4 linked regions of the Macaca mulatta genome follow. The protein of the gene in region 3 purifies or fractionates together with the protein of the main gene of each other region. This does not show direct contact. Links are inferred from orthologs where the notes say so. Each region holds a gene or a part of one and is shown on either strand. Other genes may lie near its edges. The genes, in order: ATXN2, NUFIP2, FAM98A and ATXN2L.

The links.
Region 1: the proteins of FAM98A (region 3) and ATXN2 purify together in Homo sapiens (co-immunoprecipitation; 3 studies listed by BioGRID and IntAct, counting the BioPlex papers as one, with this or other methods). This does not show direct contact. The link is inferred for Macaca mulatta from reciprocal best matches to the Homo sapiens genes FAM98A and ATXN2.
Region 2: the proteins of FAM98A (region 3) and NUFIP2 purify together in Homo sapiens (co-immunoprecipitation; 3 studies listed by BioGRID and IntAct, with this or other methods). This does not show direct contact. The link is inferred for Macaca mulatta from reciprocal best matches to the Homo sapiens genes FAM98A and NUFIP2.
Region 4: the proteins of FAM98A (region 3) and ATXN2L purify together in Homo sapiens (co-immunoprecipitation; 3 studies listed by BioGRID and IntAct, with this or other methods). This does not show direct contact. The link is inferred for Macaca mulatta from reciprocal best matches to the Homo sapiens genes FAM98A and ATXN2L.

What each region holds. Positions count from the first base shown.
Region 1 is NC_133416.1:118,797,226-118,801,383, reverse strand, and holds the start of ATXN2 (ataxin-2), read left to right. Parts: upstream 1-1,330; 5' UTR 1,331-1,614; coding exon 1,615-1,841; intron 1,842-4,158. UniProt on the Homo sapiens protein: Involved in EGFR trafficking, acting as negative regulator of endocytic EGFR internalization at the plasma membrane.
Region 2 is NC_133421.1:38,007,597-38,011,163, reverse strand, and holds part of NUFIP2 (FMR1-interacting protein NUFIP2), read left to right. Parts: intron 1-400; coding exon 401-2,125; exon of another isoform or gene 2,126-2,805; intron 2,806-3,567. UniProt on the Homo sapiens protein: Binds RNA.
Region 3 is NC_133418.1:91,384,955-91,387,977, forward strand, and holds the end of FAM98A (protein FAM98A), read left to right. Parts: intron 1-484; coding exon 485-652; intron 653-737; coding exon 738-1,400; 3' UTR 1,401-2,512; downstream 2,513-3,023. UniProt on the Homo sapiens protein: Positively stimulates PRMT1-induced protein arginine methylation. Involved in skeletal homeostasis. Positively regulates lysosome peripheral distribution and ruffled border formation in osteoclasts.
Region 4 is NC_133425.1:28,113,704-28,117,270, reverse strand, and holds part of ATXN2L (ataxin-2-like protein), read left to right. Parts: intron 1-193; coding exon 194-344; intron 345-813; coding exon 814-938; intron 939-3,353; coding exon 3,354-3,445; intron 3,446-3,567. UniProt on the Homo sapiens protein: Involved in the regulation of stress granule and P-body formation.

The sequences.
Region 1 (4,158 bases), on a different chromosome or scaffold from region 3:
TTGGCAGAGTACGATGATCAGTTTTGCCCGGACTATCTAGGAGGTTAATTTCAGTTGGGCTACTGAAAACTGCTGGTTCAATCATTCTCCACGTTTATCTAAGTCTTTACCTTTATCTGGGCAGTTCTAGGACATTGAGGGGAATTTTGGTGTTTCTTCCCCTATTATTTCCTGAAGTCCTTTCACTTTAAAAAAACAATAGATTCACTGCTAAAAAAATAAAAAGTTATCTACTTTCTACTTGCTTCCAGCTTAATTGCAACACATTTTTAAAAGGGTCTACTGTGCTGGCTGGTAAGTTAAATTAAAACTTCTAAAGGGTGCAAGGTCTAAAGTTCACACATTCTTGTGAGGTCGGCTCTGGCTCTACCGAGGGAGATCCTATTATCCGTGGTGCTAGCAGTCCCAGTCCCATATATTTCCTTTAGAATGTCACGAATGAGGAAAAAGAAGTTCAAACGAGGGAACGTAGGTTCAAATGAAGGTCAGATACCTAAAAGAGTTTTCTGGTGACTGTGTGCGGCTGGGGTGGAAAAAGTGGGGAAAAGGTACCCAGATGTGGGTGGCCCCGGAGGGTTGCTCCACTCCAGCCCCGGCAAGGGCAGGAGAGCGCGGCCTGCCTGGGAGATGCCCAGAGCCACTGGAGCGCCTACTATGTGCCAGGTGGGGACGGCAGGAAAACGGCGGGATGCTGTGTCCCCTGAGTCTGGCAGGGTTCTAGGTGCTTTACACGTAGCAAGACACATTCTCCGCCTCAAGGCACTCGCAGTCCGTTTTCTGGGTTGCATCAGGTGGGGGCAAACCAGGTCCCCGCAGAAGTGAGGACGCTGAAGGAATACAGTAGGGGAAAGAAATGCTTCCCTCTCGTCCTACACACCAGGCAGGCCCCAGAGGCTAAGACCGACACGCCCTCCCCGAAGGGCAGACCCGCCTCGAAGAGGGCGGATCCGGGTAGGGCCCGCGGCCGGGCCCTCAGCCGACCCCCGCGAAAGCGGCCCAGCGCGGCGCCCTCACGTGTCCCTCCCGGCCCCGGGGCCACTCACGTTCTGCTTCCGCCCGACCCCTCCGACTTCCGGTAAAGAGTCCCTACCGCACCTCCGCGCTCCCCCGGCGCCTCGGCGCGCCCGGCCTCCGATGCGCTCAGTGGCCGCAGCTCCTCGGAGTCCCGCGGCGGGCACCCAGTCTCGCCCCTTCGCCGCAGCCAACTGGCCCGGGTGGCGCTCGCTCCAGCGGCCGGCGCAGCGGAACGGGCGGGGCGGCGGTGGCGCGGCCTCTGGACAGTATCCCTCCGCCGCCCCTCCCCCGCCCGGCCCTGGCCCCCCTCCCTCCCGGCAGCGCTCGCCTCCCTCCGCCTCAGACTGTTTTGGTTGCAACGGCAACGGCGGTGGCGCGTTCCGGCCCGGCTCCCCGCAGCTCCTCGGTCTCGGCGGGCCTCCCCGCCCCTTCGTCGTCCTCCTTCTCCCCCGCGGCAGCCCGGGTGCCCCCCCGGCCGCGCCAACCCGCGCCTCCCTGCTCGGCGCCCGCGCGTCCCCGCCGCGCTCCGGCGTCTCCTCGGCGCGCCCGGCTCCCGGCTGTCCCCGCCCGGCGTGCGAGCCGGTGTATGGGCCCCTCACCATGTCGCTGAAGCCCCAGCAGCAGCAGCAGCAGCAGCAACAGCAGCAGCAGCAGCAGCAGCAGCCGCCTGCGGCTGCCAATGTCCGCAAGCCCGGCGGCAGCGGCCTTCTAGCGTCGCCCGCCGCCTCGCCTTCGCCGTCGTCGTCCTCGGTCTCCTCGTCCTCGGCCACGACTCCCTCCTCGGCGGCCGCGGCGACCTCCGGCGGCGGTAGGCCCGGCCTGGGCAGGTGGGTGTCGGCACGCCAGCCCCCTCCGCTCCGGTCCCGGCGTCCCCTCCCCCGCGGCCCGCGCCGCCGTCCCCGCCCCGTGACCCGCCGGGCTGCCCGGGGTGGGCCGGGGGCCGGCAGCGCGAGGGGGACTCGCTTGGGCCTGAGCCCCGAGGCTCTGCCGGGGGGCGCAGCCGGGGTCCTCTAGGATTGTCAGGCTTGTCCAGCCTCCCGCAGCATCCGCGCCCCCTCCCCCAGCGGTCAAGATGGAGGGAGCGGGCGGCCTCCCCTCCCCACGCGTGTTGGGAGGGGTTTTCGGGTAGCGGCGATGGTCAGCCCCGGATCCCCCTTCCCCACGATCCTCCGACCGCAGCGTGGGGATGCTCGGGCAGCGCCCCCACTACCAGTTCAGATGTGAACGTTGGAGGGGTCTAGAGGCTTTGATGTCGTTTTCTGGAACATGTGTCTCCCCCCTCACCCGCCATGGGAGACATCTCGGGAGGGGAGAAGTTAGGTCTGCGTCCCTCGTGCCTGTTAAAGGGGTAGGCACCGGGCTTCTCCGGAATCATCAGGGTCTGTCTGGGCTCTCTCCCCGCCCCCTCCCAGTCCTGGGAAAGATTGGAGGACCAGGTGGAGACAGGTGGGCCTTGGCCCCCGCACCTCTCCGCGTTCGAGTCCGAGGGCGCGGCGGGGGCTCCCGAACTCTCTTGGAATCGTGGGGCTCCGTGTGGCCTCCTGCAACGTTCCGCCCTCCCCCACTTGGGGAAGGGAAGGGGTGGGGAGTGCCCGGCCCCCTCCCGGCCTTCCTCCTTCCCCCGCCAGGCCTCTCCGGCGCGCGGGTGGTGGCCAATCCGCATTGCTGTTCGAGGCCACGGTGGAGAAGGCGCCTCTGAACAGCGGTGGGCGAGGGCCGGACCCAGGCTGGACCGGGGAGATCCGGGGCGGCAGTGCTGGTGGCAGGGGGCGGGCACCCTGCGCAGTTATCCCAACCCCCGCCCCAATTTCGGAAATGCTAGGAGAGAGAGATTGCAGCAGGGGACGTGGTGGGGATCCTGAAGGCAGAAATGCGGGTGTTTACTGGCGTCTTTTTTCCTCCTAAGCTGGGGTTGTGGTAGGGACTGGGGGCTCAGTGTTGTCCCGGCTAGCTGGGTTTGACTCGAGGGTGTGTTTGTGCAGGAGCGCCTGTTGGGGGTGGCGGGTGGTTGTCAGTTCGTATTTCGCGAACTAAGAAAATGCTTAGTGTTCAAAGGGAGAAGCAAACGTCAATAGACTCCATTCCATTGTGGCCGGTGTCCTTAACTTCGGGAGAGCCGCCAGAGCTTACCAAGGGCACGCAAGTCCATTTCCCCTGTGCCTCAAGTCCATCCGTGTTGCAGGCACTGCTGTGCCTTCCTTAGGCCTAGGCCGCCGTCTTGACAGGGCCGGTGACCGGCGTCCTCCTTAAATAGGCATCTTGGGCTTTGGAAGGTGGAATAAGAGGATTTTTCATTCACCTGAGTATTCTTTTTGAAAACACATTTTCAGCAACCCCTTTCCAAAGAATTTTTATTTACAGCAGAAATTCCCCATCAAGAGGAATCAGCTGGTTTTTAAGGAATTCTGCTGCCTTCAAAGGGGGCGGAAACAGTCGGTTGTTTGACTTTACACGCCCCGCCCACCCTTCCCCTTCTGTGAGTCTGAAGCATCCCAAACACTGCTTAGCCAAACTAGTTCAGATGAAGTGATCATTTCCCCAGGTAGAGGGTAAATTCAGTTTCCTTTTTTCGTTGGCATCTAGCAAAAAAATTTAAAATACAATGTTTATAGAAAAGGATGCATTCTGTTTTTACTTTCTTAGGTATTAGCAAGAGATTTGGCAGATATATTCAACATGTTCAAATATATAAACGTTAAAACTAACGTCGTTAAGTTGCATTGACTATGAGGCTTAAAAATTAGACTATAATAGAATTTGCACCTGAGTAGTTGGAGTGATCAAAGATATTTGGAATATTTTAGTACTACAAGGTCTTTTTTTCTGTTCCTTGAGGCTTTACAACAGTTTAAGGTTAATTTAGATTTTTCCGGCCGGGCGCGGTGGCTCAAGCCTGTAATCCCAGCACTTTGGGAGGCCGAGACGGGCGGATCACGAGGTCAGGAGATCGAGACCATCCTGGCTAACACAGTGAAACCCCGTCTCTACTAAAAATACAAAAACTTAGCCGGGCGAGGTGGCAGGCGCCTGTAGTCCCAGCTACTCGGGAGGCTGAGGCAGGAGAATGGCGTGAACCCGGGAGGCGGAGCTTGCAGTGAGCTGAGATCCGGCCACTGCACTCCAGCCTGGGTGACAGAGCGAGAC
Region 2 (3,567 bases), on a different chromosome or scaffold from region 3:
TCATGCCACTGCACTCCAGCCTGGGCGACAGAGCGAGACTCTGTCTCAAAAAAAAGAAAATTTTATAACAGCCTTGTGAGAGTGATGGGTAGATTGATTTTGTTAGATGAGAGGTATTTGGCATACTGCTTAAGAGGTCTTTTTTTCTGGCCTCAGACTTTGCTTTGAATTTTGGCTCAGTTCTACCTCTTGCTTTGCTTAGCAGTAGATTGCATTTCCTAGTCTGTGAAATGGGGCTGACAAGTGTCTTCTCATACAGATGTGAAATAATATAAAGCTACAGTTCATAGCATAGTGTCTAGCATACAGTAAATAAACATTTCTTAAATGTTAGGTATTAGTGTAATTTACATGTTGTGATTTTTTTTTTTTTAATAAACCGTTTTTTTCCCTCCCCTAGGCTATGGTGAACTAAACGGTAATGCTGGAGAAAGAGAAATCTCTTTAAAGAACCTGAGTTCTGATGAAGCCACCAACCCTATTTCCAGGGTCCTCAATGGCAACCAGCAAATTGTAGACACTAGCCTGAAGCAGACTGTAAAGGCCAACACCTTTGGGAAAGCAGGAATTAAAACCAAGAATTACATTCAGAAAAACAGTATGGACAAAAAGAATGGAAAGTCTTATGAAAATAAATCTGGAGAGAACCAGTCTGTAGATAAGTCTGATACTATACCAATTCCAAATGGTGTGGTAACAAATAATTCTGGCTATATTACTAATGGTTATATGGGTAAAGGAGCAGATAATGATGGTAGTGGATCTGAGAGTGGATATACAACTCCTAAAAAAAGGAAAGCTAGGCGCAATAGTGCTAAGGGTTGTGAAAACCTTAATATAGTACAGGACAAAATAATGCAACAAGAGACCACTGTCCCAACCTTAAAACAGGGACTTGAAACTTTCAAGCCTGACTATAGTGAACAAAAGGGAAATCGAGTAGATGGTTCGAAGCCCATTTGGAAGTATGAAACTGGGCCTGGAGGAACAAGTCGAGGAAAACCTGCTGTGGGTGATATGCTTCGGAAAAGCTCAGATAGTAAACCTGGTGTGAGCAGCAAAAAGTTTGATGATCGGCCCAAAGGAAAGCATGCTTCAGCTGTTGCCTCCAAAGAGGACTCATGGACCCTATTTAAACCACCCCCAGTTTTTCCAGTGGACAATAGCAGTGCTAAAATAGTTCCTAAAATAAGTTATGCAAGCAAAGTTAAGGAAAACCTCAACAAAACTATACAAAACTCTTCTGTGTCACCAACTTCATCTTCATCATCATCATCATCTACTGGGGAAACTCAGACCCAATCATCAAGTCGCTTGTCCCAGGTCCCTATGTCAGCGCTGAAATCTGTTACTTCTGCCAACTTTTCTAATGGGCCTGTTTTAGCAGGAACTGATGCAAATGTTTATCCTCCAGGGGGTCAGCCACTGCTAACTACTGCTGCTAATACTCTAACACCCGTCTCTTCTGGGACAGATTCAGTTCTCCAGGACATGAGTCTAACTTCAGCAGCTGTTGAACAAATTAAGACTAGCCTTTTTATCTATCCTTCAAATATGCAAACTATGCTGTTGAGCACAGCACAAGTGGATCTGCCCTCTCAGACAGATCAGCAAAACCTGGGGGATATCTTCCAGAATCAGTGGGGTTTATCATTTATAAATGAGCCCAGTGCTGGCCCTGAGACTGTTATTGGGAAGTCATCAGAGCATAAAGTGATGGAGGTGACATTTCAAGGAGAATATCCTGCCACTTTGGTTTCACAGGGTGCTGAAATAATTCCCTCAGGAACTGAGCATCCTGTGTTTCCCAAGGCTTATGAGCTGGAGAAACGGACTAGTCCTCAAGTTCTGGGTAGCATTCTAAAATCTGGGACTACTAGTGAGAGTGGAGCCTTATCCTTGGAACCCAGTCATATAGGTGACCTGCAGAAAGCAGACACCAGTAGTCAAGGTGCTTTAGTGTTTCTCTCAAAGGACTACGAGATAGAAAATCAAAATCCTCTGGCCTCTCCTACGAACACTTTGTTAGGCTCTGCCAAAGAACAGAGATACCAGAGAGGCCTAGAAAGGAATGATAGCTGGGGTTCATTTGACCTGAGGGCTGCTATTGTATATCACACTAAAGGTAACTCATTTGTTTCCTATGCAAAGATTTTTATTGGCCAATTTAGTATATTAAGAATTTTAAGAGAATTAGTTGTTCATATTAAGAGTATTTTAAGAGAATGACAATGTGGATAAGCAACTAACATCAAACTGATTCAGGGTCTTTGGAACTAGTATGATTAAAACTTAGAAGAAATGTTCACTTTTCCAACTTAAAATGGTTTTTAAAAATACAAACATAATTGATCTACCTGGTTCAAAGAAGTGAGGAGAACTTGCTTAAAGGTGTTGATGTTATATTTTCTTTTGACCGAGTGCTTTAAAAAAAATTTTATTGAACATATGTTCTCTTTCCTTTGCTTTTTTGTTTCTCCTTTGCTTTTTGTTTGTTTTTTCTTTGAGAGGGAGTCTCACTCTGTTGCCAGGCTGGAGTGCAGTGGTGTAATCCCGGCTCACTGCAACCTCCACCTCCCAGGTTCAAGCGATTCTCCTTCCTCAGCCTCCTGAGTCGCTGAGATTACAGGCACGTGCCACCACGCCCGGCTAGTTTTTGTATTTTTAGTAGAGATGGGGTTTCACCGTGTTGGCAGGATGGTCTCAATCTCTTGACCTTGTGATCCACCTGCCTTGGCCTCCCAAAGTGCTGGGATTACAGGTGTGAGCCACCGCGCCCAGCTTCTTGTTTGTTTTTGAGACGGAGTCTCTCTTGCCCAGGCTGGAGTGCAGTGGTGGGATCTTGGCTCACCGCAGCCTCTGCCTCCTGGGTTCAAGTGATTTTCCTGCCTCAGCCTCCCGAGTAGCTGGGATTACAGCCATGTGCCACCATGCCCAGCTTATTTTTGTATTTTTAGGAGAGACTGGTTTCACCATGGTGGCCAGGCTGGTCTCAAACTCCTGACCTCGTGATCTGCCTCCCTCTGCTTCCCAAAGTGCTGGGATTACAGGTGTGAGCCACTGCGCCCAGCTTCTCCTTTGCTTTTTGTATCATATGCTTCTTTATTAGTGAGCTCATTTAGTAGTTCTAATTTGCTTAAAATGAGTAGAAGCACTATTTTTGAAGAGGAGTCTGATAAGTCTTAAAAGGAGTAATGGATGCCAATTTGTAACTAGAAAATAAGTTAGACAAATTACAATGTCAAGCATGATAAGCATAATCAAGACCAGGCTCTTGGGAGTCTCCTTTCTATAGCCCCAAAGCCCAAGTTTAAAGGGAACGAGATATCTTTCAAGTTTCACGCTAGTAACTCTCTTTCTTTTCTTTTTTTTTTTTTTTTTTGAGATGGAGTCTCGCTCTTGTCTCCCAGGCTGGAGTTCGGTGGCGTGATCTTGACTCACTGCAACCTCTGCCTCCCGGGTTCAAGCGATTCTCCTGCCTCAGCCTCGCACATAGCTGGGATTACAGGCGCCCACCATCACGCCTGGCTAATTTTTGTATTTTTAGTACACACGGGGTTTCCCCAT
Region 3 (3,023 bases):
AATTTGATAAGACTTAAGTTTTTTTTTTCAGCTAAATGAGACAATCCAGGTAAAGACCTTGGTCATTCAGCAGATACTTATTACCTCATAGAAACCAAAGATAGGAAAATTAAAAAGCAAAATTGTTGAAATAACTTTACATTCTTATATTTAAATAGAGAATATGAATATGTTCAATCTGAGACCAATGATGGGGGAACCTTTTTATCATGTTGGCCTCATAACCCTAAAGGGAAGCGCTCCCACTCCACCCCTGCCCTCACTGTCCCTGTCACTCCTTGTTGTGTCAACAAGTCTGGCAGCTGTACTTTTAAGGTAGTTCTTGTCTACATAGGAGCAGTAGTGAGTATATAACTTTTCCTACCATCTGGAGCCTAGTAAATATCATTATCAGATATTTTGGAGACTTTTAACTTATTTAATATGTGTTTCTTATGTCATTTTGAAAATTGATATTTCTCTTTGAACACTTTTCTTTCAACAGAGCCAGACAGAAAAATTAGCCAAGGTTTACCAGCCGAAACGTTCAGTCTTATCCCCTAAAAGTACTATTTCTGTTGCCCATCTTTTGGCTGCAAGGCAGGACTTGTCAAAGATTTTAAGGACAAGCAGCGGCTCTATAAGAGAAAAAACTGCCTGTGCCATCAATAAGGTGATTAGAGTACCTTTAATTTTTTCCAAATGCATTTATTTCTGTTCGTAAAATAAAAGTTTAAAATATCTTTCCTATTCTGTAGGTGTTGATGGGCAGGGTGCCTGACAGAGGTGGTAGACCCAATGAAATCGAACCTCCACCCCCAGAGATGCCACCATGGCAGAAGAGGCAAGATGGCCCCCAGCAGCAAACAGGAGGCCGAGGAGGAGGGAGAGGTGGCTATGAACATTCCTCATACGGAGGACGAGGAGGTCATGAACAAGGAGGCGGGAGAGGTGGACGTGGTGGCTATGACCATGGTGGCCGAGGGGGAGGAAGAGGAAATAAGCATCAAGGAGGCTGGACAGATGGAGGGAGTGGAGGAGGAGGTGGCTACCAAGATGGTGGTTATCGAGATTCAGGTTTCCAGCCAGGTGGCTATCATGGTGGCCACAGTGGTGGTTATCAAGGCGGAGGTTATGGTGGCTTCCAAACATCTTCATATACAGGAAGTGGATACCAGGGTGGTGGCTACCAGCAGGACAATAGATACCAAGATGGTGGGCACCACGGTGATCGTGGTGGTGGTCGTGGAGGGCGAGGGGGTCGTGGAGGGCGAGGGGGTCGTGCAGGCCAGGGAGGAGGCTGGGGAGGAAGAGGGAGCCAGAATTATCACCAAGGGGGTCAATTTGAACAGCATTTCCAGCATGGAGGTTATCAGTATAATCATTCTGGATTTGGGCAGGGAAGACATTATACTAGTTGAGGCTACCGAACCTTACATTTTGCTAGAGCTCAAGTAATAGAAACTTAGTTTCAGAATCCTGAATTCAGCACCTATTTTGAATTAATGTGAGACCACAGGTGGCAGGCAGATTCCTGCTTGGCATAAGCATTTGTAGGTCTTCATTCAATTCTGTTGGATTTTTTTATTGGACTTACATAATGCTGTTTATTTGAGAAACACATAACATCTCTCCTTTCTATGAAAAATTTTTTAAAAGGTGATTAAAATTGCCTTTAATTGACCAGTAGACTAATTCCACAGTCAGAACATGCATACTTTTTTGAAGCAATTACTTGAATAAGTAGTTTTCATGTTTTCAATATGCAGTTTTGAAAATGAGGATTCACCTAGACTTTTTTAGATTTACTACTAGGAAACCTTCCTCATATGAATAACCATTTATATGTGTTTTGCTTAAAGTATTCCAATGCCTATTTCCAAGCACAGTTCTGCCCCCGGTTGACTTTTATGCCACGTGTGCTTCATGATAGAACTTTTAGGTCAGTTCCTATTAAATGAGCTCTTCTGCAGATAGCACATTCAGTAGCCTTATTTTGTTGATGGAATACTGTATCATATGCTCAAATCTGAAAACCTTGAACACGGCCAAAATCCATAAAGATTATAAAAGCAAACTAAGTTGTGAACCTCTAGTACATGTAGGCATTTAGTTAAATATAGCAATTCAAACTGACCTGCATCCATCCAAAACAAATTCCTCCTTCAACCTTATTTTTACTTGAAATTTGCTAGAAGAAATAGCAAACCGAAATTTGTTTTATGCATGAGTTAATACCACTGGCTCAGCAAATACAAGTTAGTTTGCTTTAGGCAGGAGACTTTTTTTGTAATGGAAGAAATGCACTACAAAGTTAAGACAGATTTTTGCTAAGTGCAGGAGGCCCTTTATTATTGCTGCAGAAAACAAAAGCCTGGCTGAGTTGATGTTTTACATTCTCCCTTACTGAAATCTACATGACATGATGCTTCTTGCTGGGTTTTTGTACATGTAAACATTGTCAAGCTGTGAAAGAAAATGGCTGGAGGTGTGCTTTGTGTGAAAGGTGAGCAATAAAGTACCTGTTAAGTTCTCTCTTTGGTTTGAGTTTTATTTTAGCTACTGAATTATTCTGGACTCTTGCGTCAAGCTAATGAGCTAAGGCTTTTGTTCCCAAAGATTCTTGAGTATTTCCTTAAAATCTAATTGTAGTGAAAGGTGATTCTTACCCTAAAACCTTAAATAAATAGAAAAATGGCTCTTCAGGTTTTCCTTTTGTAAGAAGCAGCTAGAAACCGTCACTACTTATCTCTGGCCACTGGGTGTAGCTGTTGCTACACATACTAGGCAAAAATGTCTCAAGTTTTTAGGGTTTTTTTTGTTATTTGCTTCTCCATTCTTCCTAAGATTGGGGGACTTTTTTTTTAAAAAAGGAAGTAACTGAAAATATAAACATGTTTGTTAAAAGAGAAATTGTATTTTCTTTCTACTACTAAATTGGGCTTTTTAAAAGAATCAACTCATGCCATTTAAAATAATCTACTTGCTACTGAGATAAGCACATTCTTCTGATAACTAAAACCATCGCTTTTAACTTTACCTGT
Region 4 (3,567 bases), on a different chromosome or scaffold from region 3:
TTAAGTTTAAATTTTTGTGAGACTTTTGCTAAGTCCTGTGGCTGATGTTGAGAAAACAATGCACTTGGTTCTAAGCGTATTGAGGATGTAGTGTTGTGAAAAGTTCGGGAAGGGTTAGAGAAATCCAGTCCTAATTTTGCCTTCACATTTCTTGAAACTGACCCGTGGGTGTGGGGAATGGGGGTGTTTGTAGTTTGAACTAGCAGTGGATGCTGTGCACCGGAAAGCATCTGAGCCAGCAGGTGGCCCTCGTCGGGAGGACATTGTGGACACCATGGTGTTTAAGCCAAGTGATGTCATGCTCGTTCACTTCCGAAATGTTGACTTCAACTACGCTACTAAAGGTATCGTCCTAGGCTCTTACCTCAGACCTGCTCTGTGTGCATAGAGGACAGAGGGCAGTTTGTGTGCATGCAGGTGGAACAAGGTGATGTGTTTGGTTTATTTATTTTTTTTGCCTTAATACCTTTTCTTATTTTTTCTGAGCAAGGTGGGTGGATTTTTTTTTTCTTAAAAATATGTCTTGATGTCTAATATATAATGGAATGAATTCCAGCCTGTGTTGTGGTTCTTCATATTTTCTTTGCTTGTTTTTAATTTCTTTTTTCTTTGGAATCATAATCTTGATAGACTTCTTTTACTCTTCTTTTGCCTCCCCACCCCCTGGCCGTGCTGACACACAGGCACACGTACTCTGGGCTTCTTAAACTTTTCGTTCCTGAACTACTACTTATGGGGAGTGGGGTTGGGGGATATTGGAAAGAAGTCTGTGAAATAGGGCCTGACTGCTGATCTTCACCTCTTCCCCCACAGACAAGTTCACCGATTCAGCCATTGCCATGAACTCAAAAGTGAATGGGGAACACAAAGAGAAGGTGCTTCAGCGCTGGGAGGGGGGTGACAGCAACAGCGACGACTACGACCTCGAGTCCGACATGGTATAGCTGCCTTCCCTGAGAACCTGGGAGCTTGACAGACAGAATGGGTTGTTGACAGTGAGGTTCATTTGAAGGGGGAGGGAAATATTTACTGTTGCCCGTTGATGGTGGTCAGATAACAAATAGGCATAGAAAATAGCAAAGTAAAACTACCTATTCTCATCTGGGTGCAGTGGCTTATGCTTGTAATCCTAGCACTTTGGTAGGCCAAGGCCAGTGGGTCACTTGAGTCAAGGAGTTCGAGACCAGCACAGGCAACATGGCAAAACCCTGTCGCAACAAGATATATAAAAGCTAGCAAGGTTTGGTGGCATGTACCTGTAATCCCAGCTACTTGGGAGGCTGAGGTGGGAGGATCACTTGAGCCCAGGGAGGTCGAGGCTACAGTGAGCTGTGATCATACCACTGCACTCCAGCCTGACTGGACCCTGTCAAAAAAAAACCAAAACATCAACTTATTTTCTTACTATCTATAATTAACCATTCCTAGCATTTGCATTACATTATTTTTCAACATAACGAAAAGTATAGATTATCGTGTAGACCCGTTTCTCTTCCCAAAATCAGCTACTCTGAGACATTTAAAATCTCTCACGAGGCTGAGCACAATGGCTCATTCCTGTAGTCCCAGCTACTTAGGAGGCCAAGGCAGGAGGATCTCTTGAGCCCAGGAGTTTGAGACTGCAGTGAGCTGAGATTGTGCCACTGGACTCCAGTCTGAGCGACAGAGTGAGGCTATCTCAAAAAATAAAAATAAAAATCGCTCATGAATAGAGCTGAGCATGGTGGTCCCACACCTGTAGTCCCAGCTCCTCAGGAGGCTGAGGTAGGAGAATCATTTCAGGCTTTGGTGCACTACGATTGAACTTGTGAATGGCCACTGTGCTCCAGCCTGGGCATCATAGCAAGAATGTCTGTTGAGAAACAAATGTCTTGTGAATGAATATGTTATTGCTTTGTTATGTTTGGTTTGTACAAGAATTCGCTTTTTTTGCGTTTTCGAACTTCTCGTGGTGATACATAGATCTAGTTCTTTGCTTTTATTGTTGTGTAATGTTTTCTTTATATTCACACACATACGTATACGCAACAAATTGTATTTGTCCTTTTCGTTACTCATCTGCATTTTGTTTCTATTATTTTGCTACTAAAAATAGTACCTTGCTGGACTTTGAGAACTTGTATTCCCTACGCACATGTGCCAGAATTTTTCTGGGATGTCTTGGACATAGACTTGTTGGATTTTTTGACTTTTCAGGTTTACTAGTTATCACTAATTTCTGCTGCAATTGTTAGTAATTATTAACAGTTGCAGGCCGGGATCAGTGGCTCATGCCAGTAATCCCAGCACTTTGGGAGGCCAAGGCAGGCAGATCACCTGAGGTTGGGAGTTTAAGACCAACCTGACCAACATGGAGAAATCCCATCTCTACTAAAAATACAAAATTAGCTGGGTGTGGTGGCACATGCCATAATCCTAGCTACTGGCGAGGTTGAGGCAGGAGAATCGCTTGAACCCAGGAGATGGAGGTTGCGGTGAGCCAAGATGGTGCCGTTGCACTCCAGCCTGGGCAACGAGAATGAAACTCTGTCGCCAAAAAAAAAAAAAAAAATTGCAGTTAGTAATTACAATTATTAGTTGATTACTTTTGCCAGCCACATCCTTATTTTTTTTCACTGTTGTTCACTTATTTATTTATTTTTCAGACAGAATCTTGCTCTGTTGCCTGGGTTTTTGTTGTTGTTGTTTGTTTTGTTTTGTTTTTTGTTTGAGACAGGGTCTTGCTCCATCAACCAGGCTGGAGGCTGGAGTGCAGTGGCTCAATCTCAGCTCACTGCAACCTCTGCCTCCCAGGTTCAAGCGATTCTCCTGCCTCAGCTAGGACTGCAGGCATGCGCCACCACGGATGGCTAATTTTTTATTTTTAGTAGAGATGGGATTTCACCGTATTGGTCAGGTTGATCTCAAACTCCTGACCTCAGGTGATCCACCCACCTCCCAAAGTGCTGGGGTTACAGGCATGAGCCACCACCCCCAGCCAGTCGCCCAGGCCTGAGTACAGTGGTGCCATAATAGTTCACTGCAGCCTCAAACTCCTGGGCTCAAGTGATCCTCTCTCCTCACTCTCCTAAGTAGTAAGTAGCTAGGACCCCAGGCATGCACCACCACACCCACCTGTTTCATTATTTTTTTGTAGAGATGGACTCTTGCTGTGTTGCCTAGGCTGGCCTTAAACTCCTGGCCTCAGGAGATCGTCCTGCCTCAGCTTCCCAGACTACTGGGATTACAGGTTTCAGCCACTGTGCCCAGCCAATTTGGTCACATCTTAAGAGTTTTTAATCTGATGGAAGGGAAGTGACTTGTCAATGTTGCTTTTCTTGCTGGATTTTAAAACCTGCTTTCTCCCTCCCCAGTCCAATGGATGGGACCCCAATGAAATGTTCAAGTTTAATGAGGAGAACTACGGTGTGAAGACCACCTACGATAGCAGTCTTTCTTCTTATACGTGAGTGTCTTGGTGCTCTCTAGGTGATGTGTTGGTGATATGGGGTCACTAAGTGAAGACAGGTTTCCAGGAGAACATAGTTTTTGCTCCTTTTTCTCTGGGTGTCCAGGGTCACCGTCCCT